Linked DNA regions of Callithrix jacchus. The protein of the gene in region 7 interacts with the protein of the main gene of each other region in a pairwise test. Links are inferred from orthologs where the notes say so. Each region holds a gene or a part of one and is shown on either strand. Other genes may lie near its edges. The genes, in order: SIRT6, ESS2, MRPL44, SMARCB1, PNMA5, FABP4 and VIM.

What was found.
Region 1: the proteins of VIM (region 7) and SIRT6 interact in a two-hybrid assay, tested with the Homo sapiens proteins (2 studies listed by BioGRID and IntAct). The link is inferred for Callithrix jacchus from reciprocal best matches to the Homo sapiens genes VIM and SIRT6.
Region 2: the proteins of VIM (region 7) and ESS2 interact in a two-hybrid assay, tested with the Homo sapiens proteins (2 studies listed by BioGRID and IntAct). The link is inferred for Callithrix jacchus from reciprocal best matches to the Homo sapiens genes VIM and ESS2.
Region 3: the proteins of VIM (region 7) and MRPL44 interact in a two-hybrid assay, tested with the Homo sapiens proteins (2 studies listed by BioGRID and IntAct). The link is inferred for Callithrix jacchus from reciprocal best matches to the Homo sapiens genes VIM and MRPL44.
Region 4: the proteins of VIM (region 7) and SMARCB1 interact in binary tests that used the Homo sapiens proteins (3 or more experiments, as listed by UniProt). The link is inferred for Callithrix jacchus from reciprocal best matches to the Homo sapiens genes VIM and SMARCB1.
Region 5: the proteins of VIM (region 7) and PNMA5 interact in binary tests that used the Homo sapiens proteins (3 or more experiments, as listed by UniProt). The link is inferred for Callithrix jacchus from reciprocal best matches to the Homo sapiens genes VIM and PNMA5.
Region 6: the proteins of VIM (region 7) and FABP4 interact in a two-hybrid assay, tested with the Homo sapiens proteins (2 studies listed by BioGRID and IntAct). The link is inferred for Callithrix jacchus from reciprocal best matches to the Homo sapiens genes VIM and FABP4.

The regions. Positions count from the first base shown.
Region 1 is NC_133523.1:3,924,502-3,929,002, forward strand, and holds the start of SIRT6 (NAD-dependent protein deacylase sirtuin-6), read right to left. Parts: upstream 3,002-4,501; 5' UTR 2,978-3,001; coding exon 2,912-2,977; intron 2,768-2,911; exon of another isoform or gene 2,691-2,767; intron 2,063-2,690; exon of another isoform or gene 1,888-2,062; intron 1,370-1,887; coding exon 1,242-1,369; intron 220-1,241; coding exon 37-219; intron 1-36. UniProt on the Homo sapiens protein: NAD-dependent protein deacetylase, deacylase and mono-ADP-ribosyltransferase that plays an essential role in DNA damage repair, telomere maintenance, metabolic homeostasis, inflammation, tumorigenesis and aging.
Region 2 is NC_133502.1:210,759,829-210,763,129, forward strand, and holds part of ESS2 (splicing factor ESS-2 homolog), read right to left. Parts: intron 2,821-3,301; coding exon 2,705-2,820; intron 2,543-2,704; exon of another isoform or gene 2,431-2,542; coding exon of another isoform or gene 2,425-2,430; intron 2,124-2,424; coding exon 1,844-2,123; 3' UTR 1-1,843. UniProt on the Homo sapiens protein: May be involved in pre-mRNA splicing.
Region 3 is NC_133507.1:145,706,238-145,710,000, reverse strand, and holds part of MRPL44 (large ribosomal subunit protein mL44), read right to left. Parts: intron 2,523-3,763; coding exon 2,344-2,522; intron 241-2,343; coding exon 72-240; 3' UTR 1-71. UniProt on the Homo sapiens protein: Component of the 39S subunit of mitochondrial ribosome. May have a function in the assembly/stability of nascent mitochondrial polypeptides exiting the ribosome.
Region 4 is NC_133502.1:192,663,396-192,667,158, reverse strand, and holds part of SMARCB1 (SWI/SNF-related matrix-associated actin-dependent regulator of chromatin subfamily B member 1), read left to right. Parts: intron 1-1,155; coding exon 1,156-1,346; intron 1,347-3,763.
Region 5 is NC_133524.1:149,110,986-149,115,545, forward strand, and holds the start of PNMA5 (paraneoplastic antigen-like protein 5), read right to left. Parts: upstream 2,980-4,560; 5' UTR 2,896-2,979; intron 1,139-2,895; 5' UTR 1,011-1,138; intron 568-1,010; exon of another isoform or gene 424-567; intron 327-423; 5' UTR 265-326; intron 72-264; 5' UTR 1-71.
Region 6 is NC_133517.1:45,225,171-45,229,592, reverse strand, and holds the start of FABP4 (fatty acid-binding protein, adipocyte), read right to left. Parts: upstream 2,902-4,422; 5' UTR 2,838-2,901; coding exon 2,765-2,837; intron 1,627-2,764; exon of another isoform or gene 1,596-1,626; coding exon of another isoform or gene 1,559-1,595; intron 297-1,558; coding exon 124-296; intron 1-123.
Region 7 is NC_133508.1:18,041,861-18,045,248, forward strand, and holds part of VIM (vimentin), read left to right. Parts: intron 1-1,528; coding exon 1,529-1,624; intron 1,625-1,721; coding exon 1,722-1,883; intron 1,884-2,580; coding exon 2,581-2,706; intron 2,707-3,054; coding exon 3,055-3,275; intron 3,276-3,388. UniProt on the Homo sapiens protein: Vimentins are class-III intermediate filaments found in various non-epithelial cells, especially mesenchymal cells. Vimentin is attached to the nucleus, endoplasmic reticulum, and mitochondria, either laterally or terminally.

The DNA.
Region 1 (4,501 bases), on a different chromosome or scaffold from region 7:
CCCGAGCAGTCCTGGGGGGCGGGGCCAGGGTGTTACCTGGGGAAGCCGGAGCGCACATGGAGCCCGTCCACGTTCTGGCTGACCAGGAAGCGGAGGAGACCCACGCGTTCCAGCTGCACCAGCGCCATGTGGGTCTGCGTGGGCCGTGCGCTCTCAAAGGTGGTGTCAAACTTGGGGGCCAGGCCCCGCTCCTCCATGGTCCAGACTCCGTGGGGACCCCTGAAGGTGGCAGGCCGGGAGAGATGGAGGGGGAGAGGGGAACAGAAAAACAGACGGAGAGAGAGAAAATCAGGAGACAGAGAGAGAGGCAGGGAGGCAGAGAGAGGGAGTCGGAAAGAAATAGAGGGTAAATTTGGAAGAACAGGGAGAGGGAGACAGAATAAGACAGAGACAGAGATATAACGAGTTAAAGACAAAGTCAAGTTAGAATTGGAGACAGACAGAGAGAGGGAGAGACAGAGAGAGGGAGAGATGAATTCACACGAAGGCAAAAATGACTTATTCAGTTCAATCAACTTGGTTGCTGCTGCCCTGAGCCTGGCAGGGCACATGGACCCAAGCCCTGCCCTCCAGAAACCCTTGATCTTGGGGGAGACAGGTGGACACAGACCCTCTGGCCCCACGGGGTCAAGACTGGATCAGAGGAGGTACCTGGGCCTGGGGAAGGCCAGTGGAGGTGGTGGGGACGCTGGGGCATGTGGAAGGGTTTCCTGGAGGAGTCTGAGCGTCTCTTGAAGGGTGAGAGGGAATATCAGACAGAAGGGGTAAACAGACGCCGGGGTGCTGGGAAGAACCCATGAGTTTAGGAGAAAATGCAAGTGTTTGGGGGCTGTAGCAGGGGCAGGAGGAGCTGACGCTGGAGAGGTGATTCGGGGCTGGGCCAGGAACAAAGGGCTTGAGCTTCCAGCACCAGGAATTCAGAATTCTTCCTGCCTGGTAATGGGGAGCCACAGCAGGTTATGGAAGAGGAGGAGGAGGAAAAATTCACGCCTTGGAATTCTGATTTTTTTTTTTTCCAGCCAGGTGTGATCAGGCCAAGGGGGTGAGTGGAATGCTGGTTGTGATTTCAAGGGACACGTCCTAAAGGGAGGGAATATCAGCCCTCCCCAGTGTCCAGGACACATCCAGAAGGAAGGAAGGAAGATGGATGGGCCCTAATGCCTAGTTGTGTGGCTCACGGGGAAGGCCGTGGCAGGCTGGTGGGCCTTGCCCCGATGTCCCCTGCACACTCACTCACAGACCTGAAGTCGGGGATGCCAGAGGCGGTGCTGATGCCGGCCCCTGTGTGAAACACCACGTTGGAGGACTGCCAGACCAGCCTCGCCAGCTCCCACACCTTCCGCTCCAGCTCCTCTGGGGGGTCGAAGATCTGTAGGGGGAAGGAGCAGATGGAGGGGTCAGAACAGGTCCCGCAAGTGGCCAGGCCATACACGAGCCACAGACCGAGCTGTCCCTTTCTTGCCTGGGGCAGGAAATAGATTGGAAAAGGCAGCTTGTCCTCATGTGTGTCCTCTGCCTACAGACCTCCGTGGCTCCCACCTGCCTTGTTAAAGCCCTAGCCCTGCCCCCTCATGTTCTCTTCTGCTCCCTTCCCAGCGTCACTCACTCTGATCCAGCCACGCAGGGAGGCCTCCTCCCTCTTCCTCCATCACGCCAGGCACAGTCCTGCCTCAAGGCCTCCGCACAGGCTGTCCCCACACCCTTGAGTGCTCTTCCCCCAGATACCCACATGGATGCCTCCTTCACCTCCTGTAACTTGTGGGTCAGATGTCACCTCAGCGACAGTGACGCCTCCCTTGGCCACCTGGTTTCCATACAACCCCTAGTCAGTCTCCCTTATTAGAAAGAGGGGTTAACTTGTCTTGCTCCTGACTGTGGCCCCCTTACCTAGAAAGTGCCTGACCCACAGCAGGTGCTCCATCAATGTTGGTGGAAGAAAGTGACTAACAGGCCGGGCGCGGTGGCTCACGCCTGTAATCCCAGCACTTTGGGAGGCTGAGGTGGGCGGATCACGTGGTCAAGAGATCAAGACCATCCTGGCCATGGTGAAACCCCGTCTCTACTAAAAATACAAAAATTAGCCGGGCGTGGTGGCGCGTGCCTGTAATCCCAGCTACTTGGGAGGCTGAGGCAGGAGAATTGCTTGAACCCAGGAGGTGGAGGTTGCAATGAGCCGAGATCGCGCCATTGCACTCCAGCCTGGGTGACAAGAGGAAGACTCCGCCTCAAAATAAGTAGGTAAATAAATAAAGTGACTGACAGCAGCAATGAAGAGCGCGGCTTCTGGACAGACACACCGTCAGCGCTCACTAAATGCAAGACTCGGAATGCATGGGTCAGCCTTTATGGGACGGGGCCATCTTCACGCAGGCGACAGCCTCCGCAGAAAGGATGGGGATGGGGACCCAGAACTGAAGTGACTTCCCACCGGGCGCGGAGGGGACAGCCGACCCCTCCACTTCCCCTCCGAGTGGCTGGAGGGATCTTCCTGGCACATTCTGTCCAGGCCCCTCGCCAGGGCAAGACCCTTCTCCATCCCCCTCGGGAGAAGGTGCCAACTCCCCAGCCTGGCATTTGAGCCCCGCCCTGGCCCGGCTCTGGAAACCTCCCCGGCCTAATCGTTCTCCAGGTGCGTTTATTCCACCACCCTGCCCTTGCGCCTGCCGTCCCCTCCTCCTGGAACTACACACCCCCGCTCTCCCCGACCAGCCCCGGCCGGTGGCCACAGAGTTGGGCGTGTTCGCGTCCCCGGGTGCGCAGGGGTGTCACTTCCCGCCCCTTCCTCACTGGGAAGTCCCTCCCATTGTCTAGCCTCAGTGTCTCCTGATATTCCCACAATGCCCTGCTGCCGTCCGGACCCTCCCTGCCAACGGCGTTGGGAGCGACCCTCGGGATCCCCGGATGCGCTCACCTCGGGGAGGCCGCACTTGCCCTTGTCCGCATACGGCGACAGCCCCGCAGCGTAATTCACCGACATCCTCGCCGCGCCCACGGGAACAATAAAGTTTCCCTTGTTGAGGCCGCTTCCGCCGGAAGCGGGGCGCGGCGGGGAGGAAGGAGGAGCCGCGTTCCTGTTCCGCGAACCCTGCCTCCCTCGGCAAGGCGCATGCGCCGCGTGCTGACGCCGCAGGAGCCATGTTAACTGCTGTCGGAAGGAAACCCGATTTCTTGGCTGCAGGCATTCTCGGGGTTTGGGAAGGGGCTGCCCGATGACCCGAGCGGGAAATTGGGGCGGCCGCCTACGTGAGAGTCCTCCAGTCACCTCTAAAATGAGGGACGCAGGCTATCGATGCCCCCATAACCCCGTTTTACGTGTTAGTAAATTCCATAAGGACAGTGCCAGACAGCAGGGACCCCCTAGTCCAAGGGTCTTGAATGCCACCCTGAATTATCTGAATTTTTTTTTTTTTTTTGTAAGACAACCTCGCTTTGTCGCCCAGGCTGGAATGCAATGGCGCAGTCTCAGCTCTCTGCAACCTCCTCCCGGGTTCAAGCGTTTCTCCTGCCTCTGCCTTCCGAGGAGCTGGGATTACACACGCCCACCACCGCGCCCAGCTAATTTTTTTTTTTCTTTTTTCTGATTTTTGTGTTTTTTAGTAGAGATGGGGTTTCACCATGTTGCCCAGGCTGGTCTCGAACCCCTCACCTCAGGTGATCCACCCGCCTCGGCCTCCCAAAGTGTTGGGATTACAGGCGTCAGCCACCGCGCCGGGCCAGGTTATCTGAATATCATACAAGTGGAGGCTCTGAATTTTGCAGGACACTTCCTGCTCGTGGTCACTGGGGCTGGTGGCCTGGAGGGCTTATTTAAGAATCATGTGTTGAGCACCTACTGTGCACTGGGCACACTGGGGAACAAAGATGGTACCGTCCCTGCCCTGGTGGCTGGGGGTGGACACAAAGATGTGATCAGGTAATGGTGACATGGTGTGGTTGCGGTGCAATGGGGGATGCAGAGGGCACAGGGCAGCGAGGGGGCTCACAGGAGGCACCTGACCCAGCTTGGGGGCATCCAGGAGGGCTTCCTGGAGGAGGGGATGTTGCAGCAAAGATCTAAAGAGTGCATGAGTCAGGTAGAGCCGGTTGGGAGTGACTTGAAATATAGAAAGAATGTTCCCAGTGGGGGAAACAGCAAGTGCAAAGGCTGAGGAGACAGGAAGAGCGTGGCTCCTTCCAGAATCTGAAATCAGTCCAGTGATGATAGGGAAGATCGTGGGTGTCTTCCCGCCAGAGCCGCTGCCAGCCTGTCTCCTCCCTCGGCTCATCCCCAGCCCCCTGGGGCGGCCGCCCGCTCAGAGCTGATCAGGTGTCAGAGTAGAGCTGCTGGAGCTTCTCGGGGCCCAGCTGGGAGTGGGTAACCGGAGTCGGCAGTGGGCACTGCGGCCGGGAGCTCGGGGCACTGGAGCTGCAGGAGGTACGGAGGAAGGAGGTGGGAGAGGCCCAGGTTGGAGGATCCCTTTAGGGCCCCAGGCCCCTGAGCCCTTGTGTGTGGGAGAAAGAA
Region 2 (3,301 bases), on a different chromosome or scaffold from region 7:
CTCTGCCAGGGTCCACCCACCAGGCCCCCACTGTCTCTCTTTGACCTGGCTCTATCCCCATTGCCCCCAGGCTGGCCAGCTCCAGAGGTCTACAGCTCCCCCTGGCCTCCTGCAGTTCAGCCTGCTCTGACCTGCCCCCGCTCCCTCACAACCTCTCCCTCAGCATCCTCCTCTTCCTCCATTTCCCAGTCATTTGAGATTTCTGTCCTCAGCCCTCACGTTGCCTGCCCTGCCCTCCAGGGGCAGCCCCAGCTAAGACCTCACCTCCCCTGTGCCCTCCCCGCCCAGTGGCCCTGTAAGCTGCTCAGCAGCCCTTGATGATGGTGCACTGGCTAGTCTTTCGTGCTTTCTGCTGGGTCACCCGCTGCTGCCGAAGCATGCAGCCCATTCGCCAGCCAAGTGCTGGAGGTGGTTAGCACCTAGACAGGGCTCCTCCCCACTCCCTAGGGACTCCCTTGAGATAAAAGCCACCCTTTCCTATGGGGTAAAGCACCAAAGGCCCCACCTTCCCCACTCATGAACAGTCCCAGCCTGATCTGTCCAGCACCCCTACGTCTACCTGCAGGTCCCAGGGCACATCTATTGCTCAGTTACCCCAGGAACTTGCAGGAACTCACTGTCGAGGAGCATAGGTTAGCAGTGGGCCCAGGAAGGTGGCAGAGTCAGGCTCTGTGCTGGCCTCCAGAGAACTTCAGCACTTAGGGAATGAGTGAGGGGACCAGAGAAGATCGCCTAGCACAGGCTGGGCACACTCAAAGCAGGAAGGACCCCGGTGTGAGTAGAGGCCAAGCGTGTCCCTGAGCAGCGACACCCCCACCCCGAGGGCACAATCTGTGACCTCCACACCTTGTCACTCCCACCAATAGGAGCCAGGCCTCTCTATCTCCACAGGAAGCAGGCTCAGTCCCCGCTTCAGTGACCAACTTAAAACACAAGGCCACCAGGCTCCTAAGGGTCTGGCACACACATCCGCTGCCCATGGCCAAGTGCTTCCACAGTGCACAGAGCATGTGCCAGGTCTGCATGGAGCCTGGGGCCCATGTTACTATTACCTGGGTGTTCCTATTGGTGGGAGTGACAAGGTGAGGCCAAAGCCAGCAGCATAAGATGGGCAGTGCCTGTAACAGAGGGCTGAGCAGAAAGGCAGGAAGATGAGACAGTCCCACCTCATCTGAGCTGGAAGCCAGGTGCTAGGAGAAGGTGATGGCTGAGGTCACCTGATATGCACTCCCAAACAGTCCTATAACCAGTGCACCTCACAGCAGGCAAGCCCAGCTTGGAGGCTGCAGACCTGGGCCCAGAGCCGCAGGTGAACCTGAGCGGTATAACTTCCAAGGGCTCCATCTCTCCTTCATATTATCCCCAGAGGAGCAGAAAGCACTAGAGGATGTGTGTGACCTCAGCTCAGAATTTAGGTTCCAGGTGCTGCAGAAAGCAATGCCAGAGTCACCCAGAGCTCCCACAGCCACCCCACCTGCAGCTTCCTTGCCTGGGGGGCCCCCTTGCTTCAAGCCCTGCAGTCCCGAGACGTGATGCAGGCCCCAGGGCAACCCTGAGGCTTGTGTGGAGAGCAGGACGGAGAGGAGATCCCACCAGACTGTACCAGGCGTTCTTTAATGACAGTTCAAGGGGCCGATTAAGTAGCAAACAGCTTGGAAAGGCCCTGGGGTGTGTGCCCTGTGCCAGCCTGGTTCCAGTACAGTCCCCTTCTCCAGTGGCTCCTGGCAGGGTCAACAGCTTCTGGCCCAGGCCTGGGTCCTGAGAAGGCTGGAGTCCTCTGCTGGGTGGACAGCTGCCCTGCAGATTCCATGAAGTGTCCATGGGCCCAGCTCCAGGCCTGGCTCTAAAAGAAGTCTGAGGCTTTGCGTCGGGCAGGGAGCTGCAGCAGGTTGTCCGTGATGGAGGCCGGGTCCTGCGTGAGGGGGGTGCGTGTGGCAGAGCCAGGTGCTGGTGTGCTTGTGGGGGTCTGCAGCCCACTGGCCGGGGTCTTGAGGTGGGTGGAGCGTGCTGGGGATGGTGTGTAGCTGGCCCGTAGGGCCCGGTCTGTGTACTTGCTGGCTGTCCTGCTCACAAGGCGCTGTAGGGCTGGGGACATGGCTGGGCTCAGGCCTTTGGGGGTGAGGCTGGGGTGGAGGGATGGGCGAGAGAGGCAGGGTTAGATGGGCAGAGAGCTGCCGACAGTAGGGCCTCCCTCAGCTCCCAGGAAGAGCCTGGGCAGAGACACAGCCACTCTGAGCTGAGGAGGACGGCACTGCCTGGCATGGTGCAAGTACCAGGGAGCCCCAAGGTCAAACGGCAGCGCTCAGGTCAAATCTGAGGTCAAACAGCATGCTGCCCTAGCTGTGGGGGCTGGGGTAGACCCACAGACCTCTGGGAGTTGGAGTCCCCACCCCTCTCCACGGGGAACGATGACTCTCTCCACAGGGCTGATGGAAGCTCCCACCAGGACCACACACCAAAAGGTGCCTCTTAGGGACGGGCCAAAGAGGATGTGGAGGAAAGAGAAGATGGAGGGGCCCTCGTCCTGTCCATGTGTGGCCAAGCTCTGGGTAAGAGGAGCTGCCACAGCACCCACTGAAGAACCCCGTGGATCTGCCCTGGACTCTGCCGCATGGGCCACGCCTCCACACGGTCAGGGCAAGGGCTGAATAGGAGCAGGCCAGGGCCACTCTCCCACTTCCCCAGCGGCCAGGAGGCCCCTCACCTGGCCAGGTTCTCCGTCACTCTCCGCAAAGCTTCCTGCTTCTTGGCCCGGTTCTTGGCAGCAGCCTCATTGGCCATCTTCAGCCCCAGCCGTTCCCGGCGGCCTGGCTCCAGGATCTACAAGGGATCAGACGTGGGTAGCTGTGCCAGGCCTGCCACATGGCAGTCCCTCATACAGAGAGCCACTGTTGTGGGCGCCAACCTCTCCCTGTGGCCTACACAATCCCCACAACCCACCATGACTTCCCTCTAAAAGCCCCTGGAAAGCCCCCAACCCCACCTGCCCTCTCCAGGGGCCAGCACTCCTCACCTATCTTCATGTTCCTCCCAAAGCCATGACCTCTGACAATCTCTCAGGAAAAAGAGTGTATGTTTTAGTGTTTCCCTGATTCTAAGAATGAACATCTCTGTCTTTATTGGCCCTGTCTATTTCGGGTGCAGATTCCCTGTGTGTCTGTGGCCTAGTTTGCTCTCAAGGGATTGATTTTCCCTTTCTGCTGCTGTCACTCAGAAGACCCTCACCTGTGTCAAGTCAACTGCGCTACGCCGTGCACATGTGTTTTTAGTTATTTGCGTTAGTTTCATTTATAATATTTTC
Region 3 (3,763 bases), on a different chromosome or scaffold from region 7:
ATCTAGCTTGAAACACCTTTGACATTTATCTGACTTTTGCTCTCACATTTCAGGCTCCACATCATGGCTGGCTAGCTGGCAGTGGTCTTTTGTGCTCTCAACGTTTCTCTTGGTTTGGAATAGTTCCAAGGCCGCCTGTTCTCTGCAAATCCATAAAGTTTCCTAAGGGCCACCCGAGCAGCCTCTTCTTCTGCAACCAACACTGTTTCCCCAGGTCCTTCTGCAATCAACTTTTTATCACTAGAAAGAGAACAAACAGTTGTCTTAAATCACCTGGAACATGATAAGACAGTACACAAAGCAATTATAAAGCAATTATGCTTTCTACATCTTATTTCAATAACACCCATTAGAAGTAACACAATAGCTTTGATAGATCACCTTTTGGATTTTAACGAGCTTTGTTGCAAGTTCATTACATATGGTAATTAGACAAAGATACATTTTCATTTCCTTAGAAATACATACAACTCTATTTTTAAAGTCCAAAAAAGCAAGTAGTATCTACATTTTCAATTGTTGATGAAAATTGGAAGAATATGGAAACAAATATCTCCTTCCAAAAACCTGAAACTACTAAAAATATTATCAGGAATTATGACTGTTCATATTTTTAATGTGTGATATAACTTGGGAAAATATTCCGCTGAAAAAATTATGACTTTTGAATTTGCCATCTAAACTTGAACACAAATGAGAAACCAGTTCTATATTTCAAATTAGGAACTTTAGGTCAGGTGTGATGGCTCACACCTGTAACACCAACACTTTGGGAGACCAAAGCAGGATTGCTTGAGCCCAGGAGTTCAAGACCAGACTGGGCAGCATAGTAAGACCTCTTCAAAAAATTAAAAAAAAAAAGATAAATAAATAAATTAAAATTTAAAAAAAAGAACATTAGATCTACAAAAACACTACTACCCAATAGTAATCACTGTAGTAATATGGCAAATTACTTCTTACATTTTTTTTTAGATAAAAGATCATTCTCCAAAATGTCCTGATCTCATTAAAAATTCCTTTAAAATGTCACCTATAACAGCTGTACTATAGTCATCATGTGCATATATCATTTCTCTCTTGTGGAATACCACATTTATTTCTAATTTATTTATTTATTTTTTTAGTTCGACAACTCTTTACTGACCACCATGTCCCAGCAACTGTTCAAGGTATGAAAACAACAAATGTCTTTGTTCACAAAATTTGCCTGCAAATTTACGGCAAACAACCAAAAATTGAAATACCATAATCAAAGAACATAAAAAATGTTAAGATGCTTGGCATTTTGTCAAAATTATTCACAGAAATACTGAGTACATTGTCTTTCTACCAGCAGTGAATAAACCGGTGACAAAAGATATGTTTAAAAGGTCTGCCGATCAGATAAGTAACAAGGAGTAAACTGAAAAGGAAACTTTTTACAGCACTATCAATTTTCCCCATGTGGTAACTTCTATTTCTTTTATACTTTTAGTCTTTTGTGATACAAGGATTAGAAAAATCTTTACTAAATTTTAATCTAGCTTTTTAAAAAATATTCAATATTTACACTTAACACTTTAATCTTAACATCTGAAATTAATTTGGGGCAGGTCAACTTTTTACTAACAAAACTAAAAAGCTCTCAACATGGGGTGATTTATACATTTTGATGGACACCTAAGCCCTTCCTTTTCCAGTTCTAGGCTCGGTTGAAGCTACTGACAAGAATGGATTAAGGTTAAATGCAACATGAAGTCAACATTTGTACTTTTTTTTTTTTTGAGATGGAGTCTCACTCTATCGTTCAGGCTGGAGTACAGAGAAGCAATCTCAGCTCACTGCAATCTCCGCCTCCTGGGTTCAAGTAATTCTCCTGCCTCAGCCTCCCAATTACAGGTGCACACTACCACACCCAGCAAATTTTTTGTATTTTTACTAGAGACGGGGTTTCACCATGCTGGCCAGGCTGGTCTTGAACTCCTGACCTTGTGATCCACCCACCTCAGCCTCCCAAAGTGCTGGCATTACAGGCGTGAGCCACTGTGCCTGGCCTCATTTGTAATTTTACACAGAAAAATTTAAGATAACATACTGAAAGTCTATGGTAAATAGTTGGCAGACAAAAGCTACAATTAGCAAAACTCAGATTCCTCCTAAGAATAACTAGCAGGAAAGGGAGCAGTAAATAGCCACAGGGAAGAGATTTTTAAAAAAATCTTTTAATGCAATTCAAATGAAGGAATTTTAAGAGGTTATGTTAACATTCGTTATGGAATGTGAAGAGTCTGTTTTTAAGGCTTTGTGAGGAGTCTGTTTTTAGGATTTCCTCAAAGTTATAAAGATTAAAATTTCACTAACCAGTATAAGCCAACAAAATACAAAGGCAAAGCTGTGGTGCCACCAGACTGCCTAGTCAGTCTTGATTCAGGAAGAGATATATTCCTTTTCTTCAGTTCTTCTACCAATAGCCCCATGGGATTTATTATCTTCCACATCTCAAAGAGCTCTTTTCCAGTCATTTGAGTAATTAAGAAGTCCTGCATATAAAAATATAATTTATACATTTTAATTAGTATAAAGAACACTAGGACCACAATTCAAAATACATTTTTTACACTTTTTAAATTAGAAAAGTAACAAAGTACATTGTTAACAGAAATTTAAAACAATGGGAAATGAAAGACAAAAATGTGCGATTCTCTTTCATTCCCATAGTTTTTACATAAATTTTATTACAAAAATCATAATTGGCTTAAAAAAAATTGAAAGCCCGAGAAACCTATTTCAAGCAGTATGATCCACCAAAATGCCACAGCAGGAAGACTCCTTTTTTCTTGTTTGAGACAGGGCTTCACTCTGTTGCCTAGGCTAGACTGCAGAAGCCTGATCTCACGTGCACTGAAGCCTCAACCTCCTGGGCTCAAGCAATCACCATACCCGGCTAGTTTTTAAACTTTCTATAGAGATGAGGTCTCCGTAAGTTGCTGGGGCTGGTCTCGACTCCTGGCATCAAAGGATCCTCCTGCCTTGGCTTCTCAAAGCACTGGAATTACAGGGATTAGTCACCGCGCCCTGCCCTATCTTGTAAATTAGAATTATATTCCTACAGGTAAGAAAAAAATACTTAAAGAATCGAGTTAACAAATAAAAAGTAATAACTTTTGATAGAAACTCATGTAAAATGGCACTCAAATAAAAATACCTCCTCCATTAATAATGTTTTTAAAAACTCAGCCAGGCACAGTAGCTCACACCTGTAATCTTGGCACTTTGGCAGGCCAAGGCAGGCAGATCACTTGAGGCCAGGAGACTAGCCTGGCCAACATGGTGAAACTCTCTCACTACTAAAATTACAAAAATTAGCTGGGCATGATGGTGCATGCCTGTAAACCCAGCTATAAGGGAGACTGAGGCAGGAGAATCACTTGAACCAGGGAGGTGGAGGCTGCAGTGAGCCAAGATCGTGCCACCACTGCACTCCAGCCTGGGCAATATAGCAAGACTCTGTCTCAAAAAACAATAATAAAAAATAATTTTTAAAAAATCATTTAATAATTTCACATAAACTATCTTTTAAAACCACGACATACTATTAATTATTTAGATGACTAAGATAACTGAGAAATTATGAACATTCAAAGCAGAATTGATTTTGCCAGTAAAAAACATAATGTTGTATAGAAATTATGGAAGCAAATGTTAATTTTCACAGCAATTTACATATTCCAATTAACTTGTATCAACAAACATTAGCAATATGATAACAAGATGGATGGAG
Region 4 (3,763 bases), on a different chromosome or scaffold from region 7:
CTTAGACCAGGATGCTAAGAAGAGGCTGGTCCTGCCAGGTGAGGGGAAGAACATTCTAGCAAGTGGTGGTGTTCAGGGCTCAGAGGCACAGGGCTTTATGAACATGATCGGGGATTGGGGTGCCCTCATTTCTCTAAAAGGAGGCAGAAGTCCTCAGAAGGGCTGGGCTCCGAGGCAGTGGCGAGTTCTCCATGCAACTGCCCACCCTGATCCTCGACTTCAAAGCTAAGGGCCAACAGTGAATGGGAAGGTGCACCATGGCCTCCTTGCCCCGTGGGGCACTGGACAGCAGTGAGGGATGACTCCAGCCCTACACTCTAATGGGAGGAGCTTTGCAGGCATACACAGAGGGAATGAAACTGGACCCCAGGGTCCATCCTATTCAGAACAGCCATACTTACTCAGGGGGAGCGAAGTCAAGATGGTGCTGCCTCAGTGGGGCAGGTGTAGGTGGGAGATCCTAGGGTACAGTCTGTTCTCTCTGGCTGGGTGCTGGCTTCCCAGGTGTCCACTTATGAAAAATCCCTGACTGCACATGCGGGGCCTGGGCCCTCTGGCTGTGAGTCATGTGCCGCAGGAGTCCTCTGGGGAGTGTGGGAGCAGCTGACTCAGCACTGCGCTCCCCGCAGGCTGCCCTGCTGCCTCACCATGTTGGCCCAGGGTGGAGTGCATCTGTGAATATGCTAGGCAGGGTTTTCTGAGAGGGGCAAGGTCTGTGAAGGGCATAGACTTTGGCTTAAGAGAGGGCTTAGGATTGCCTTAGCTGAACCCTGCTTGGCCAGTGTAGTCATGTAAGACCGATGGCAGCAGGAGTGAAGGGCAGAAAGGAAGGTCCCCGCCAGCATGGGGCACAGCGGGGATGGGATGAAGGTAAGGTGGGACTCAGGTGCTCCTGGGGCCACTTTGGGGCCTCTCGAGGGTGACCATGCTGGGCCCTGAAGCCAGAGCCCCTTGTGGCAGGCAGGAGGCCTGTGGGGTCAGCCCTGTTTTGGGGGTGAGGAACTGGAAGGACAAGGGCTACCTGCAGTTATCAGCTGGTGGATCCTGGTGGGCAGGGCACATCCCTGGTCTGGCAGGCTCCCCTACCCTTGTGGCCTCCCTGGGCTGGGGACAGTCCTGAAAGCTCTAACTTGTGTCCTTTGGTTGTTGCCTCAGCTGAACATCCATGTGGGAAACATTTCCCTGGTGGACCAGTTTGAGTGGGACATGTCAGAGAAGGAGAACTCACCGGAGAAGTTTGCCCTGAAGCTCTGCTCGGAGTTGGGGTTGGGTGGGGAGTTTGTCACCACCATCGCATACAGCATCCGGGGACAGCTGAGTTGGCATCAGAAGACCTACGCCTTCAGGTAGGATCATGCACGAGTCTCTCCTTCCCTCCCTCATCTCCCTGCAAAAGTGTTTTGAGAAGGACTTGTCTGTGTGAGTGGTGACGCCTTCGAGGCTTTCTCAAGCTTTGCAGCACCATCTTGCTGGGGTCTGTGTGTTTGCTCTGTCCTCCGTCACCCTGTGTGTCTCACCAGTACTCTGCTCTGCCAAGTAGGGTTGGAAGCACCTAACACAATAGCTGGCAAAGACTTGAAGCTCTGTCAGGGTGAATCTCAAGTCCTCACCTCCAGGGAGCCCTGGGCCCACCCTTGCCATCCACCATTCAGCCATCCTGCCTCACACCCTCTCTCTGCTCTTGCCCAGACTGTTATTTGGTCAGGATGGCCCCTGCCCAGGATTCTTCATCTGTTGAACTTGAATTCTATCTTAAACACAAAGGCCCGCCCCAGCTCTGGAGAGTCAGGGGTCCCCTAGCAGCTCCTTCTTACTGCAGTGTCTCTGCCTTCGGTCAGTCAGAGAGCATTTGGTGAGTACCATGCTGGACTGGACCCCATCCTGGCTGCCCTGGAAGATAGAGACAGGTCACCTTGATCCCTGCCTGTAGCATTTGGGCTGGCTGAGATGGTGGAGGTGCAGACAGAACATTCCAGTCCAGTGTCCTCTGTGCAAGGGTGGGGATGGACCCAGGGGAGGCCCTCCTGTTCCTGGTAGGAGGTAGGAGTCAGAGTTAAAAGCGAGGTCAAGGCCCACTGCGGTGACTCACACTTGCAATCCCAGCACTTTGGGGAGCTGAGGTGGATCTCCAGAACCCAGGAGTTTAAGACCAGCCTGGGAAACATGGTGAGACCCCATCTCTATATAAAAAATACCAGAATGAGCCAGGCATGTTGGCGCATGCCTGTAGTGTCAGCTACTCAGGAGGCTGAGGTGGGATCACCTGAGCTCAGTAGGTCGAGGCTGCGGTGAGCCAAGATCATGCCACTGCACTCAAGCCTGGGTAACAGGGTTGAGTCTTCAAAAAACAAAACAAAAGCAAAGCTGAGCTGTCCTGGCTCAGCAGGACTCCAGGACTGGGAAGCCCTGTGGTTCCTAACCCTGTCCTCTGTGTTGGGTTGGGGGTGCAGTGAGTATCCCTACATCAAAACAGGATGTTCAGATTTAGTCCGCTCATCAGACTATCATCATCCACATCTGCAGTCACCACGTAGGGATGACAGCTTAAAATGCTACACTGAGGAACAAATAGGAAGGTCTGTTTTGCAAAGCCATGGCAATTAATGGGGCTTATTGGGATTGCGTCTGGCTTGTTTTCCCAGACATCCCGAGAGACAGCTTTCTGTGACTTCCTGTAAATCTGAGCAAGGAAGAAGGAATGAGAGCCACCCACGAGGCTCAAGAGCCCTGGGCCTGAGAAACAGCTGGGCCCCTGCCTAAGCGCCAGTGGTTTTGAGATCCTGTGACCTGCCCCCAGCAGCCCTGCCAATCACATGGTTCTGTTTCACAGATAGGGCAGCCCTGAGAGGCGGCTGGGGGGCTGGTGTCTGATACCTCCCTCTTCCCTCTGGGTGCCGCCTGGGAATACAGCTTTAGTGTCCATTCACCCTGCATGGAGCCATGCCCTGTGGCCGGAGAGCCAGTAGGGTGGCCTCACTCCACGAGAGTTGACTCTGCGGTCCCGGGAGACAGTGATGTTGCCCACGTCGACACTGAGCACCTCCTCCCCCAGAGGCCGATCCAGTCGGAACCCTCATTCTGGGCTCGAAGGTGCGGGTGGCAGACTAGCAGCTCCCAGCATCCAGGCGCTGACGGTGTCGACCCTCACCCAGCCCTGCAGCTGCAGACAGTGCCCACAGTGTGGGCTCAGGAGCTGAATTCCCCAGGGCCTCTTGACAGGTCCTCAGAGCATTCTTTCCTTCAGCCACCATAGCACCATCCCTCCTGCTCTGAACTGAAGGTGCCCTGAGCCCAAATTCCTTGCCAAGCTCCAGGCCCTCTGCAGTTTGCAGAATGGCTTCAGAGCAGGTCCCTTGGGGAGTCCCTGGTGGTGGCAGGTCAGGACTTATAGGCAGATGCCCTCTTTATCTTAGCTACCACCTAATGAGTTCCAATTGTGGAGCTTGAAGACATCATAGACCCTGCCCGCTGTTGTCTCTCATGCTGATTGTGCAGTTTTCAAATCTTTGAGGTTGAAGGCAAGGCCACCCTGCTGAGACCAGGGTGAGCACATGTCCCCATCACAGCAGCCGGGTGGGAGGGGCTTGGGGACCTGGGAAGTGTCCTGAGTGGCCTCTTAGCATTAGGAGGGCTGCGTGTGTCTTCCCACTCCCCGCACTAGAAGACAGCTGCAAGGACAGGACAGGACAGGACAGGACCTTAGGGATGGGCTGGCTCATCCTTGACTCCAATCCACGTTCCCTCCACTGCACCACCCCACCCC
Region 5 (4,560 bases), on a different chromosome or scaffold from region 7:
GTTTGACAGCACTCAAAGGATTCTGAGCCACTGCCACGTAGGAAGGCAGGAGTGTCACAGGTTTCCACAGCCTGCAAAGCAAATGGGATAAGAGCATTGCTAATGCCCACCCCAACGTATACTCCCAAGTGCCCCTCCCTCTGCCCCCACCCCCAGCAGGGATGGAGTCCCTGCTACCCAAGGCTCAAGTCATTGTGTGGAGAACAGAGTGTGGTGGGTCTCCCCAGGCAAAGATCCCCCCACCTCACCACACTCCCTGCTGACCTCCTCCTGCTGTGGGTTCCTCCTCGATGTCCAGAGGACTCAGCCGGGTGTGCTGCAGGTGCCTGTAGTGAAAAGGCCAACGTCAGGAGGCAGGGCCTGACACCTGAGGACACTGACAAGCCCTCCAGGCAAAAGTCAGGAGACTGCCCCACTGCTCACTCAGGGCTATGTGGGCTCAGGTCACCTGGCACCCTCCTTGCTGGAATGGAAGTGAAGGCTGGCTGCAGGAGAGGTGGAGTGGCCGTGTTTCTCAGGAAATGCCTGACAGAGGAGAAAGATGGCCGGAGCTCTGCGCAATGAAATGAGTGGTGGGTGTGGAGATTGTGTGAGAAACTGCAGTGTTGCCATGGATACAGAGCATACCATGGACCATGGGTTGCTATTGTATGGTAGTGTCATGTGGTGAGGCTAAGGCCCTTGAGAAGCAACAGGTGATGTCATCGGTCTTCATCCAATACAGCATCCTAGCAACAAGGAGGGTAGGTGAGGAAAGGGGAGGTAGGCATGAGGAGTGAGTGCTCAAAGAAGGACAGGAGTTCATGGTTTAAATTGTGTGGAAGGTGAAATCGGGCAGAAAAGGGACGCAGATAAGGTCCCTACTGCCAGACTGCAGGAAACGAACAACTCTTGCCCTAGCGATGGCCCTATCCTGCAGAGTTTGCGAACCCTGCAGTGAGTCCTGTCTCCTCACTCTTTGCCAAGGTTCCAGAGTCCCTCCCACCAGAGCCCACCTCACAGCTGCTCACCTTGCTGGGCTGGCTCTGCTAGCAGCGTGGAAGCTGCAATAACAGCCACTTCACACTTGCTGCGCTCTTCAGCTCTGTCCAGTTAGGCAGCTACTGAGTTAGCAGTGACGGGTCTTGCTTCTCTGGATCTGTCCAAGGCAAAGCAGAGGTATTTTGTTGTGATTGTGTCCCACACACACGTCTCTGCTCAGGCCACGGCAGTTGTGATTCTGCAAAGGTGTCCAGTAGTACTCTGGCGCAGCCACAGAAGAAACTGCTCAACTGGCAGAGGGAGGAGGAGGGAGGAAGGGGGAGGGGTGCGGAAAGAGGGAGTATGGGAAGGAATGGTGAGGGAGGTGGAGGGTGGGGGCTGGTGGGGGCTGCTGATAGGACAGAAGGGATCGTAGGATAAGGTTGTTGTCCCACCCCCACTGCAAACTCTACTCGCTCCAAAGCTCCGCCCCTGCAGCCATGTTGTCCGAAGCTCCGCCCCTGCAGCCATGTTGATCGGAAGCTACGGCATTGCAGCCATGTTGCATCGCTTAGCTACCTCACCATAACCACCACACGTTGCCAAGGTCCACGTGCGTACACCTAAGATCCACCTCTACCGCAATCCCAACCAGCACGAAATCCAACCCATTTCCCCACCCACGTCTAACTCGTGCTTCAACCCTGCCCCCACCCACGTCTGTTACCTCAACCCTGCCCCCACTCACAGTTGAACTCGTGCCTCAACCCTCCCCCCACCCATGTCTAACTCCTACCTCAACCCTGCCCCCACCCACAGTGGAACTCGTGCCTCAACCCTGCCCCCACCGACGTACAACTCGTGCCTCCAGCCTGCCCCCACTCGCAGTCGAACTCGTGCATCAAACCTCCCCCACACATGTCTAACTCCTACCTCAACCCTGCCCCCAACCACAGTCGAACTCGTGCCTCAACCCTGCCCCCACCGACGTCTAACTCGTGCCTCAACTCTGCCCCCACTGGCAGTCGAACTCGTGCATCAAACCTCCCCCACACATGTCTAACTCCTTTCTCAGCCCTGCCCCCACGCACAGTCGAACTCGTGCCTCAACCCTCCCCCCACCCATGTCTAACTCCTACCTCAACCCTGCCCCCACACGCAGTCAAAGTCGTGCATCATCCGTGCCCCAATGTCTAACTCCTACCTCAATCCTGCAGGCACCCACAGTCGAACTCGTGCCTCAACCCTGCCCCCACCCATGTCTAAGTCGTAACTCAATCCTGCCCGCACCCAGAGTCAAATCCGTACCGCAATGAGTGACCACTCACGAAGCCCAACTACTTACGCCATACAAGTCTAACCCCCTGTACCGAAATCCAGTACGTCCGTTCCCGTTTCCCTCCATCTCTACCCTGTTATCTACATAAACCAACTACCAGCACCAGTGGAAGGCGGCAGGATCTAGGAGAGAAGATCCGAAGCCGCTCTTCTGCACGGACAAGGGTCAAGAGTTGAGGGTGGAACAGGCCTCCAGAAAGTATTTTTTAATTTGTTTCTTTTTGAGACGAATAGTCTCCCTTTGCTGTCCACGCTGGAGTGCAGCAGGCATGATTTCGGCTCAGCATAACCTCCGCCTCCAGGGTTCAACCTATTCTCCTGCGTCACTGTCCTGAATAAATGGAATTACAGGTCCCCAACACTATGCCCGGCTAATTTTGGTATTTTTAGTAGAGACGGAGTTTCACCATCTTGGGTAGGCTATACCTCCTCACCTAAAGTGATACACCCGTCTCGGCCTGCCCAGCCTAAGGTCTCCCAGAAGTTCTGCCTGGAAAACTATGGATAGCAACTCCTAGGCCCTGTGGAAAATAGCAAGTTATTGGCGATATACCCCCTAATCTAGGTTGCTTTGTATGACCAGGCCCAGCTCCGTACCTGTCAGAAAGGCCTGTAAGCTGGAGTGATCGCGCAGCGCGACCACCACACGTCTAAGGCGGCTGCCGCCTCTGTGCCGAATGCGCCTCCAGGCTATGACAGGAAGAGGTTGTCTGGTAACGCCTCCCCGCCCAGCGGAAGTGCACACGGCCCACTCACAGTTGCGCACTAGTGACATAAAGCATTCTATTTCCCGCGCCAAGCAACTCCTCACCCCCACCCCACCAGTTCGAGCCCGCACTTTTGAGAACATACAATACAAACAGCTGGCAGCCATTTCCATTACAGACTAGATGCCTGTACTTTACTGGCTGGACAACGGTAGCACCAGTCTCTTCATACACGCCACATGTACCCAATAGGCCACATGACTACACGTACTACCTCAACATCACAGATCCTGTTAAAGGCTGTGGCGGGAAGAGGTTTTTGGGTGATGACCCCCACCCTAGCAAAACTTCACACGGCTCTTTCACATTTGTGCAGTGGCCACATAAACCTTCCTACTTCCCTATCAAGAATTCCTTACCCCACCCCAACCCTTGCCAGACTGTGCCGGCCTGCGCCAACCTTCACCTTTGAGGAAATACAATACAAACAGTTGGGAACTACTTCCATTGCATACTAGCTCGGAAGTCTATAGTTTACTGACTGGACGATGGCGGCAGCTATTCTCCCCACTTGCCACGTCACCCAGCAGTCATTCTGTTTCTTTCCCGTGGGAGGGGAGCTATGCCGTACCAAGCCGTGTGTGAAGGGCCAGGTGCAAATCACCGAGTACAACATATAAGCCATGTGTAACAAATAGGCCAAGTGAGCGTGTGTACTACCTGAAAGTCACACACCCCTTTTCAACCTGACGCGGGAAGAGGCTATCGGGTGATGACCGCCCCCTCCCCCACTGTAACTCCACACAGCCCACTCACAGTTCCTCACCTATGACACAAACCCTCCTACTTCCCATGCGACGGGTCCTCACCACCCCACTACCACCCGTGCGAGCCTGTGCCAGCCCGCACCTTTTAGAACAGACAATAAAAACAACTGGGTGCCACTTCCATTGCAGACTACCTCCCACGCCTGTAGTTTACTAGCTAGACGACGGTGGCACCCAGGCTCTTCATTTACCATGTGTCCCAGCAGCCATTGTGGTTCTTTTCCACTGGAGGGGAGCTGTGGTGTCCCAAGCAGTGTCTGAAGGACCTGGTTCACATCACTGGGTGCAGCATATAGGCCACGTATAATGAATAGGGGGTGTGAGCCTACTTACTACCTGAAACTCATAGCACCTGTGTATTTTTTATTGGACTGCGTTCTGGGGTAGGAAGGTAAAAAATACAGCTACGGCCTGCATTTCACAAGGCCATAATTTTTTTTTTCTGCTTACTTAGAGCCAGATGACTGAAAATACTCTATTCTCCCATTATTCTCCTGATTTCACGGCCTACTTCAAGATGCACACAAATACCCTGGCAATCTTTAAAAAATGCAAGTTCTCAGTGAGGAGGCCTAGTGCAGGACTGATTCTGCTGAAAGCCGGGTGACTTGCTGCCTACCCCTGCCCAGGCTGTGTGTAGCAATGGTCTGAAGGCTATGATTACGCTTCAGGGCCAGAAGTTATGGACCTGTGGTGAGAGAATATATGTGTGTTTCTTTATTAGTGAT
Region 6 (4,422 bases), on a different chromosome or scaffold from region 7:
CATCACTGTACTCCAGCCTGAGCAATAGAACAAGACTTCGTCTCAAAAAAAAGAGAGATTTCTTCTAAGCAGTGGCGATTCAGAAAACAGGCGTGTACTCTGTGCCAGTTCCTTATTTCTTACCTTGACTTTTCTGTCATCTGCGGTGACTTCGTCAAATTCCTGGCCCAGTTTGAAGGAAATCTCAGTATTTTTAAAGGTGCTTTCAGACTTAATGGTAATTACATCCCCATTCACACTGATAATCATGTTAGGTTTGGCCATGCCAGCCACTTTCCTGGTGGCAAAGCCCACTCCTACAGTTAGGAAAAGAAAAGATGTCAGGTTTACATTTTCTCTAAGTCACAGAATGTGTTTGTGTACACAGGTGCATGTGTGTAAGAGAAAAAAGACACTAGTGAGTTTCTTAAAGGCCTAATTTAAACAGCTCCTGCAGATAAAATCAGGCTAATACTTAAAAAAAAAAAAAAAACAAACTAAAGCACAACCTCTGAGAAACAACAGGTGTAGGCCCTATTCTTTCAACTTCCCTTTCTCTGGTCTGGATGCAACTTCTCAGGAGACCCATTGTTTATTTTCAACAAAAATGTGTATAAAGTTTAAGTCTTTGGGAAGATATATATTTAAAATGTTAACCACTATTATTTTTCTCTCTTAAGAAAATACCCGAGGCCACTTGACCATTATATAGATACTCAACATTACATTTAAGAAGGGACAAATAATTTTCAACAGAATTATTTGACTAAATAATGTATAGTTATTTAGTTAAATGTTCGTCTGTTTTGAGTGTACAAAAATAACATTTCATAGCATTTGTTGCCACGTCTACATTTCTGTGCTTCTTTCTCAAAGTACCCCACCATGAAATGTAGATTTTGATGGATTTCATGGAAACAGAAAAGCCACCCATACTACTACAAAAGGAAAAATGTTTTCTGCATTGATAACGTTTTAGAATGGGGATATCATTCCTAGTAATTTATAGGGACATTTAAAAAGGCACTCGTTATCAAATTGTGAAAACTAACACTTAAGAAATCACTGTTTCTTAGTTTAGAATAGGTTAGAAGCCAATACTTGGATTTCCAGTCACCTAAGTTGTGAACTCTTCTTTCTTAAAAAGGAGAATATATTTTCTTGTGCAAGGTATGGAATGAATAATTTACATCCTAACATAGAAGTAACTTGCTGCTACTGTGTATGTCATGCAGAATTTATGACAGTCATTGATGTTTTGAATTTTTAAACATGTGCATGTAAATCTAAGCTCTTTCTTTGACTAAAGGCAACCAAAGGCTAGAAATTGGGGAAAACTGGGAGAGACATATGGTGCCAAATAAGTAATGCTGAGGCTCTGACTTAACTGTCTGAAACATGACCACAGGTTTTTCTTCAAGTCCTGGCTCTGTTACAAAATATAATATTAAATGTATGAAGTGAGCCGGCTTCATGAATGGAGGCAAAACTGAGTATGATGCTGGAATGGCTGACCTTGGGAAAAATCATAGACTTCATTTGCTTGATTTTGCTTTTATTTGAGTGATGAAGACAATACCTGCCCACTCATCCTCAATTAGAGCAGCTGATTTCATGCAGGAGGTATTTTATTGACCTTAATTATCATCAGTCGTCTATAATTTAAAAATACCGTATTATTAGAAAATATAACTATTAAAAGCATAAAAATTTTTCTAAAAATAAATAGTTAAATGGCCCCAAATCCTGGCATTTCTGTATCAGTGCATATGAATTAGTTTATTGAATCACTTTAGTTTATTCTAGAAACTTAGGTCTCTCTCATGCTAAAGTCAGCAATTTTCCTATCATCTAAAAACAAAAAAAAATACAGATAAGCAAAATACATATATATATTCAAAACACTTAACACGCCTGTACAGTACTGTTACATTCTAAACCCTAAGAAGGAGATTGCAGAAAATTCCTCCCCAGTTTATAACCCCAGTTCTGACTTTCATGGACTATCCTGCATGGGGTTGAGGGAGAAAGGCTTTCAAAGTAGAAGCTGCCTGAGTGAGAAGTTGCCTGTTTTGCTTTACCTCCATAGTTATCTGAGAGACATTTATCCAACAACCTGCTGACAATGTTATTAGCATCTAAAAAATTAAAAACCTACAAACGTAACATTCTCTTTTTAACTTACTTGATGATTCTACAGCATCCTATGACGTTTCTAGTGAAAGGAAGTATTTAAGCCCTTTAAGAAACACATTTTCTGAAATTAAGATTTTTGTCTATCATAAAACAACCACATATTTTAATGGATTGACATTGAGACAAGAGAATAATTGGCTAACATACAGTTACTGAAAAAGAGCCTTGCATTAAGGGAAACTGAGTGCTTTCAGTTTCAAATGAAAATTATTGCATATCATTTTTCCAAGTTATTGCTTATTTTATATGCAAAAGGGGAAGAAAGAAAAACATGCAGAGAGCTATGTAAACCAAAGATACTCTAGTTTTGCAATTAAAGTCGAATCTTGTTGTTTTTAAAGACCATAAACATTCCATTTAGACACTTTTTAAATATTGGTACACCTTTAGGAAGCATTAGTTGTAGCTTTGGTTCAGAATTTCTCTAGAAACAAATGATTATCACTTGCTATGTGTGGAGCCTCTCTGTAGAAAGCAGCATTTTCATTTCTGGCAGGAGCTTCCAGACACTGATGTAAAGACAGCTATAAACTCTTTTCCCCAAAAGAAAATGTTATAAATCCACTCATTCCCCAGTGCATTTCCTTACCTACTTCTTTCATATAATCATCAAAGTTTTCACTGGAGACAAGTTTCCAGGTACCTACAAAAGCATCACACATTTTGTGAGTTTTCTAGGATTATTCTTCAAGGTGAAGCTGCAGTTTTCAGAAGAATGCTGTGACCCTCTTGAGTCCAGATAACTTCCTTTTAAAGATGTTCAGAACATGTGATCTTAGGAATGACCAATTGGGAATGATACCCAATCATTTCCTTCATTACCGGACTCTGCATTTTTTTCTCTGAGTCATGTTTTTAATAGAAATTTCTCAACTTTGGTTATCCCTGGAAAATAGTCACTGGACTTAGAGTACAAATTATTTTTAAACCACTAACAGGATATTTTAAACATTCCTGTTTTGATAGCTTAATGCTCAGTGTATGAATTTTCCCCTATTATTTCTATACATACTTACCCCAGTGTAGAGAAGGGAAATTATTTTGAGATAAACTTTGACCTTCTTTTGTTTTTTTTTTTTTTAATTTAAATTGAAGTTGTGTGGTTCTTTTGAATTGAGAAACATAAGAACTGCCTTGGAGATTCTTACATAATTGCAAAGGCTCTTTGGGACAGTACTGTCTCAGAAATTACCTGGCAATTAAAACAAAATAAATAATGGCATTTAAAAGTACTCCATATTTCTAATTTCAAATGTTTTATATGATTTTAAGAGTACATTCAGTTGACCTACCAGGAATCTAGACTGTCGATTTTATTAAAATAATAATTTAACCTCATTCTTTCCATCTCCTAAATGAGAGCATAGCACTGATTTCACAGATCCTTTGAAAAATCAGCCACATTCTAAAATATTTTCCTCATACTGAGAAAATGCATTCAATTTCTGAACAGTATTATGAGTTCCAAATTTATGCAGATCAGAAATGGTGTGGTTGCAAACTACCAAAACCAATATCCTTCTTTTATACAGTGACCAATCTGTGAAATTAGTTTCCTAAAGTAATCATGGTTTTCAATTCCCTTCACCCCATGCAAAAATGATGGAAGATGTTCACATGTGCTGTAAATTCCCACGAACATACCCAGATTTGGTGGCAAAAAAAGAAAATAGTGTATTTCAGAGTGATGTGTCACTACACTGTGTATCCCACTGAACAGGACCTGCTGAGCATATGATTGATTCACAAGCCTGTGTAACTATCCCGAGGGCTTCCCAAAAATGTTTGCGGCAGGAGATTCTGTAAACAACAGGATTTTCTGTAGAAAAGCAAGTCGCTATGAAAGCCTGATAAAGTTAGTCTTCGCATTTATTAATGGCACAGTAATAACGCTCATCTACTCTGGACTGTTGCATAGGTACATAGACTTTGGCGATGTACCATCCAGGTAGGTTTGCTATTAGTGATTTGCCTGTTTCCCATTGAATAAGACCTTCAGGTGGAAAGTAAATAAAAGTGACAAATCTTAATAGAGGGATGTTTTTGATAATGTTTTAAATTAATTTGCCTCAGACAGGTTTTTAAATGATTGAATTTGAATACATACGATATGTATTGTAACACTGCAATTTGGTTTTTAAATCATTTTTATTTCTATAGGTTTAGGGCTCCATGTGCATTTTTGTTACAGGTGTATATTGAATAGTGATAAAATCTGGACTTTTAGTGTAACCACCACTCAAAGAA
Region 7 (3,388 bases):
TTTGTTATGTCTTTTTTAGGGCTTACCAAGTAAAAATGAATGTTTTCATTAAGTTGGATCTTTTTATCACCCACTCTTCATTCATTTTTTCCCAAAGATGATAGAAAAGTCTCAACAGTTTAATACTCTAAGAGTATAAACTGAACTCCAAATATAATTACTGACAAGATAAGCAATCCTCATGCATCCTTTAGAGAGAAAATAAAATCTTAGTTGCAAAAGTACATATTCTGATTTGGAATGTTGCCCTTTACAAATGGAAACATAGAAGGACAGCTGAATCAGCAAAAATTCATGTAGTTTCATTATCTGCAAGCTTGGTCAGTGATTCAGAAACAGGCTAACTGAACTGATACAGTAGCAAGTGAAAAAGACATGCCTTTATGAGAGGAGCCAAAGGAGTTTTAGAAGAAAACTCCATCAGAGAAAGCAAAGCAAATACATTAAGAATTACGTGTCTTTTCCATTTTTTCCTGAACTGAATCTTAGGCAATGCCCATATTCCTGAATTGGGCTATTATTGAATATAAATCTAGCCTTGTACAATGGATGCCAGATGGCTACATATTTGCTCTGGAGCCTAAGGATGAGATTCAGAAGATTCTAGTGGAGAAAAAAACTTAAACTCTTAAAGCATGAGTTTCTGTTCTTTATGTGCTCAAGTGTACATGAAGTTGTGAAATTTTGTCCATGTCTATTATCATGTTATTCCATGAAATTACAAAACCAATCTTAAAAATGTTATGACAGAGATTTTCTAGATTTCAAAAGTAATTAAATTAAATTAATTTTTTTGAGACAGACTGTTTCTCTGTCACCCAGGCTTGAGTGCAATGGCACGATCTCGGCTCACTGCAACCTTCGCCTCCTAGGTTGAAGAAATTATCCTGCCTCAACCTCCTAAATAGCTGAGACTACAGGCGTGTGCCAGCACACCCAGCTAATTTTTGTATTTTTAGTAGAGATGGGGTTTCACCATGCTGGCCAGGCTGGTCTCGAACTCCTGACCTCAGGTGATCCCCTGCCTCTGGCTCCCAAAGTGCTGGGATTAACAAGCATGAGCCACCATGCCCAGCCTTCAGTAAAACTTTATTTACAAAAACAGACAGCCACGGGCTGCAGTTTGCTGACCCCTGATCTATACAGGTTGGATTTTGTTGATTACAGGCATGAGCCACTACTCTGAGTCTTAAAAAGTAATTTTAAAATGTCACTGGTAAAATGTGGATTCAGTCATGATTGCGTACAGTTTACCACATTTGTAGACATTTATTTATTTTAAAATTGTCTGATCACCACCTTGAGTAAAACACAAGGGGTCATGATTAAAATTTATTAGTGAGCAGGAGAAAGCGTAGCATATGATAGCACTAAATGATTTCTAAACTTACTCAAGGGTGGTAAAATTTGTCAACACCTTTTCTATAGTAAGGAGACTAGGTTTAGATGGTTAATCTAAGATGAATAAGTGAGAGAAGCCATAGACTTTTACATCCTCCATGTCCTGTCTTTTCTCTGTTCAAAATAGGATGTTGACAATGCGTCTCTGGCACGTCTTGACCTTGAACGCAAAGTGGAATCCTTGCAAGAAGAGATTGCCTTTTTGAAGAAAATACACGAAGAGGTTAGTAGAGTGTCTTTCGGGAAATGAATGAAGGTAAGGCAACCCCCACAGTTGGCACAGCTGACCTTCTATCTGCTTTTTTTTTTTTTTTTTGCAGGAAATCCAGGAGCTGCAGGCTCAGATTCAGGAACAGCATGTCCAGATCGATGTGGACGTTTCCAAGCCGGACCTCACGGCTGCCCTGCGTGACGTACGTCAGCAGTATGAAAGTGTGGCTGCCAAGAACCTGCAGGAGGCAGAAGAATGGTACAAGTCTAAGGTAGGAAACAAGTCCCTGTGGCCTGCACAGAAGAAAAGCATTGAGTTCTCAAAACACCATTCCTGTGTGTAATTCCTATCCTGTAGCTCCAGTTAAAAGCTGGCTTTGACTTGTTGCTCACATTTATTTATTTATTTTTGAGATGGAGTCTTGCTCTACTGCCCAGGCTGGAGTGCAGTAGCATCATCTTGGCTCACTGCAACCTCCACCTCCCGGGTTCAAGCAATTCTCCTGCCTCAGCCTCCCAAGTAGCTTGGACCATAGGCGAGCACCACCATGCCCGACTAATTTTTGTATTTTTAGTAGAGATGGGGTTTCACCATGTTGGCCAGGCTGGTCTTGAACTCCTGACTTCAGGTGATCTGCCTTGCCTCAGCCTCCCAAAATGCTGGGATTACAGGCATAAGCCACCACTCCTGGCCATATCACCTCCTTCAGAATAGCAGATTCCCTTCCTCTTAACCGTGCCTCCAAGTAAACCCCAATGCCATACTTTGACCTCCACTGTGTTTAAATGAGTACAGTAGAGTGAACTCTGAAGATAGTAATGTCAGTGTTCCACTGCTCTTTCTCTGGCTTTCAAAACAGAAATTTAAGCCTATACTGGAAGACATTCAGTGGGAAATATGATCTTTTTTTTCTAAGAGAGTCAAGACTTGAATGGGAGCAATGTACATTTCTGTTTTCTCCCCGACAGTTTGCTGACCTCTCCGAGGCTGCCAACCGAAACAATGATGCCCTACGCCAGGCAAAGCAGGAGTCCAATGAGTACCGGAGACAGGTGCAGTCCCTCACCTGTGAAGTGGATGCTCTTAAAGGAACCGTGAGTACCAACCCTGCAGTAAAAGAGGGGAAATAATGACCCATTCTGCTGACTATGCTAATGGCGAAGCCTGAACAAAATGTTGAGTGAATAAAAATTTATACGGTAATGCAAAGAAAATGACTTATCACGACAAACTCAAAAAGGACTTGATGGCGCTCTTGAAGGTTTTAGCTTGTGTATATCATTGCTTCTCATATGAAGGACTTGGTACTTGCATTCTCCGCCTACGACTAGAGTAGTTGTCATTTGCCACTAATGGAAATTATTGCAAGAAGACTAAATGGTTCTGGGAATAGCTGGGTTTTTCTGAGCAATAACACCAGAAACCTTTCTCACCTCCTGCAGAACGAGTCCCTGGAACGCCAGATGCGTGAAATGGAAGAGAACTTTGCCGTCGAAGCTGCTAACTACCAAGACACTATTGGCCGCCTGCAGGATGAGATTCAGAACATGAAGGAGGAAATGGCTCGTCACCTTCGTGAATACCAAGACCTGCTCAATGTTAAGATGGCCCTTGACATTGAGATTGCCACCTACAGGAAGCTGCTGGAAGGCGAGGAGAGCAGGTAGGAGCTCAGGCTTGGATGCAGGAACCATTGGGCTCTAAGCACAGCGTCACACTTAATTTTTAGAAGTTCCTTTCAGGTAACTACTTTCCATTTTTGTAGAGGAGGAATTT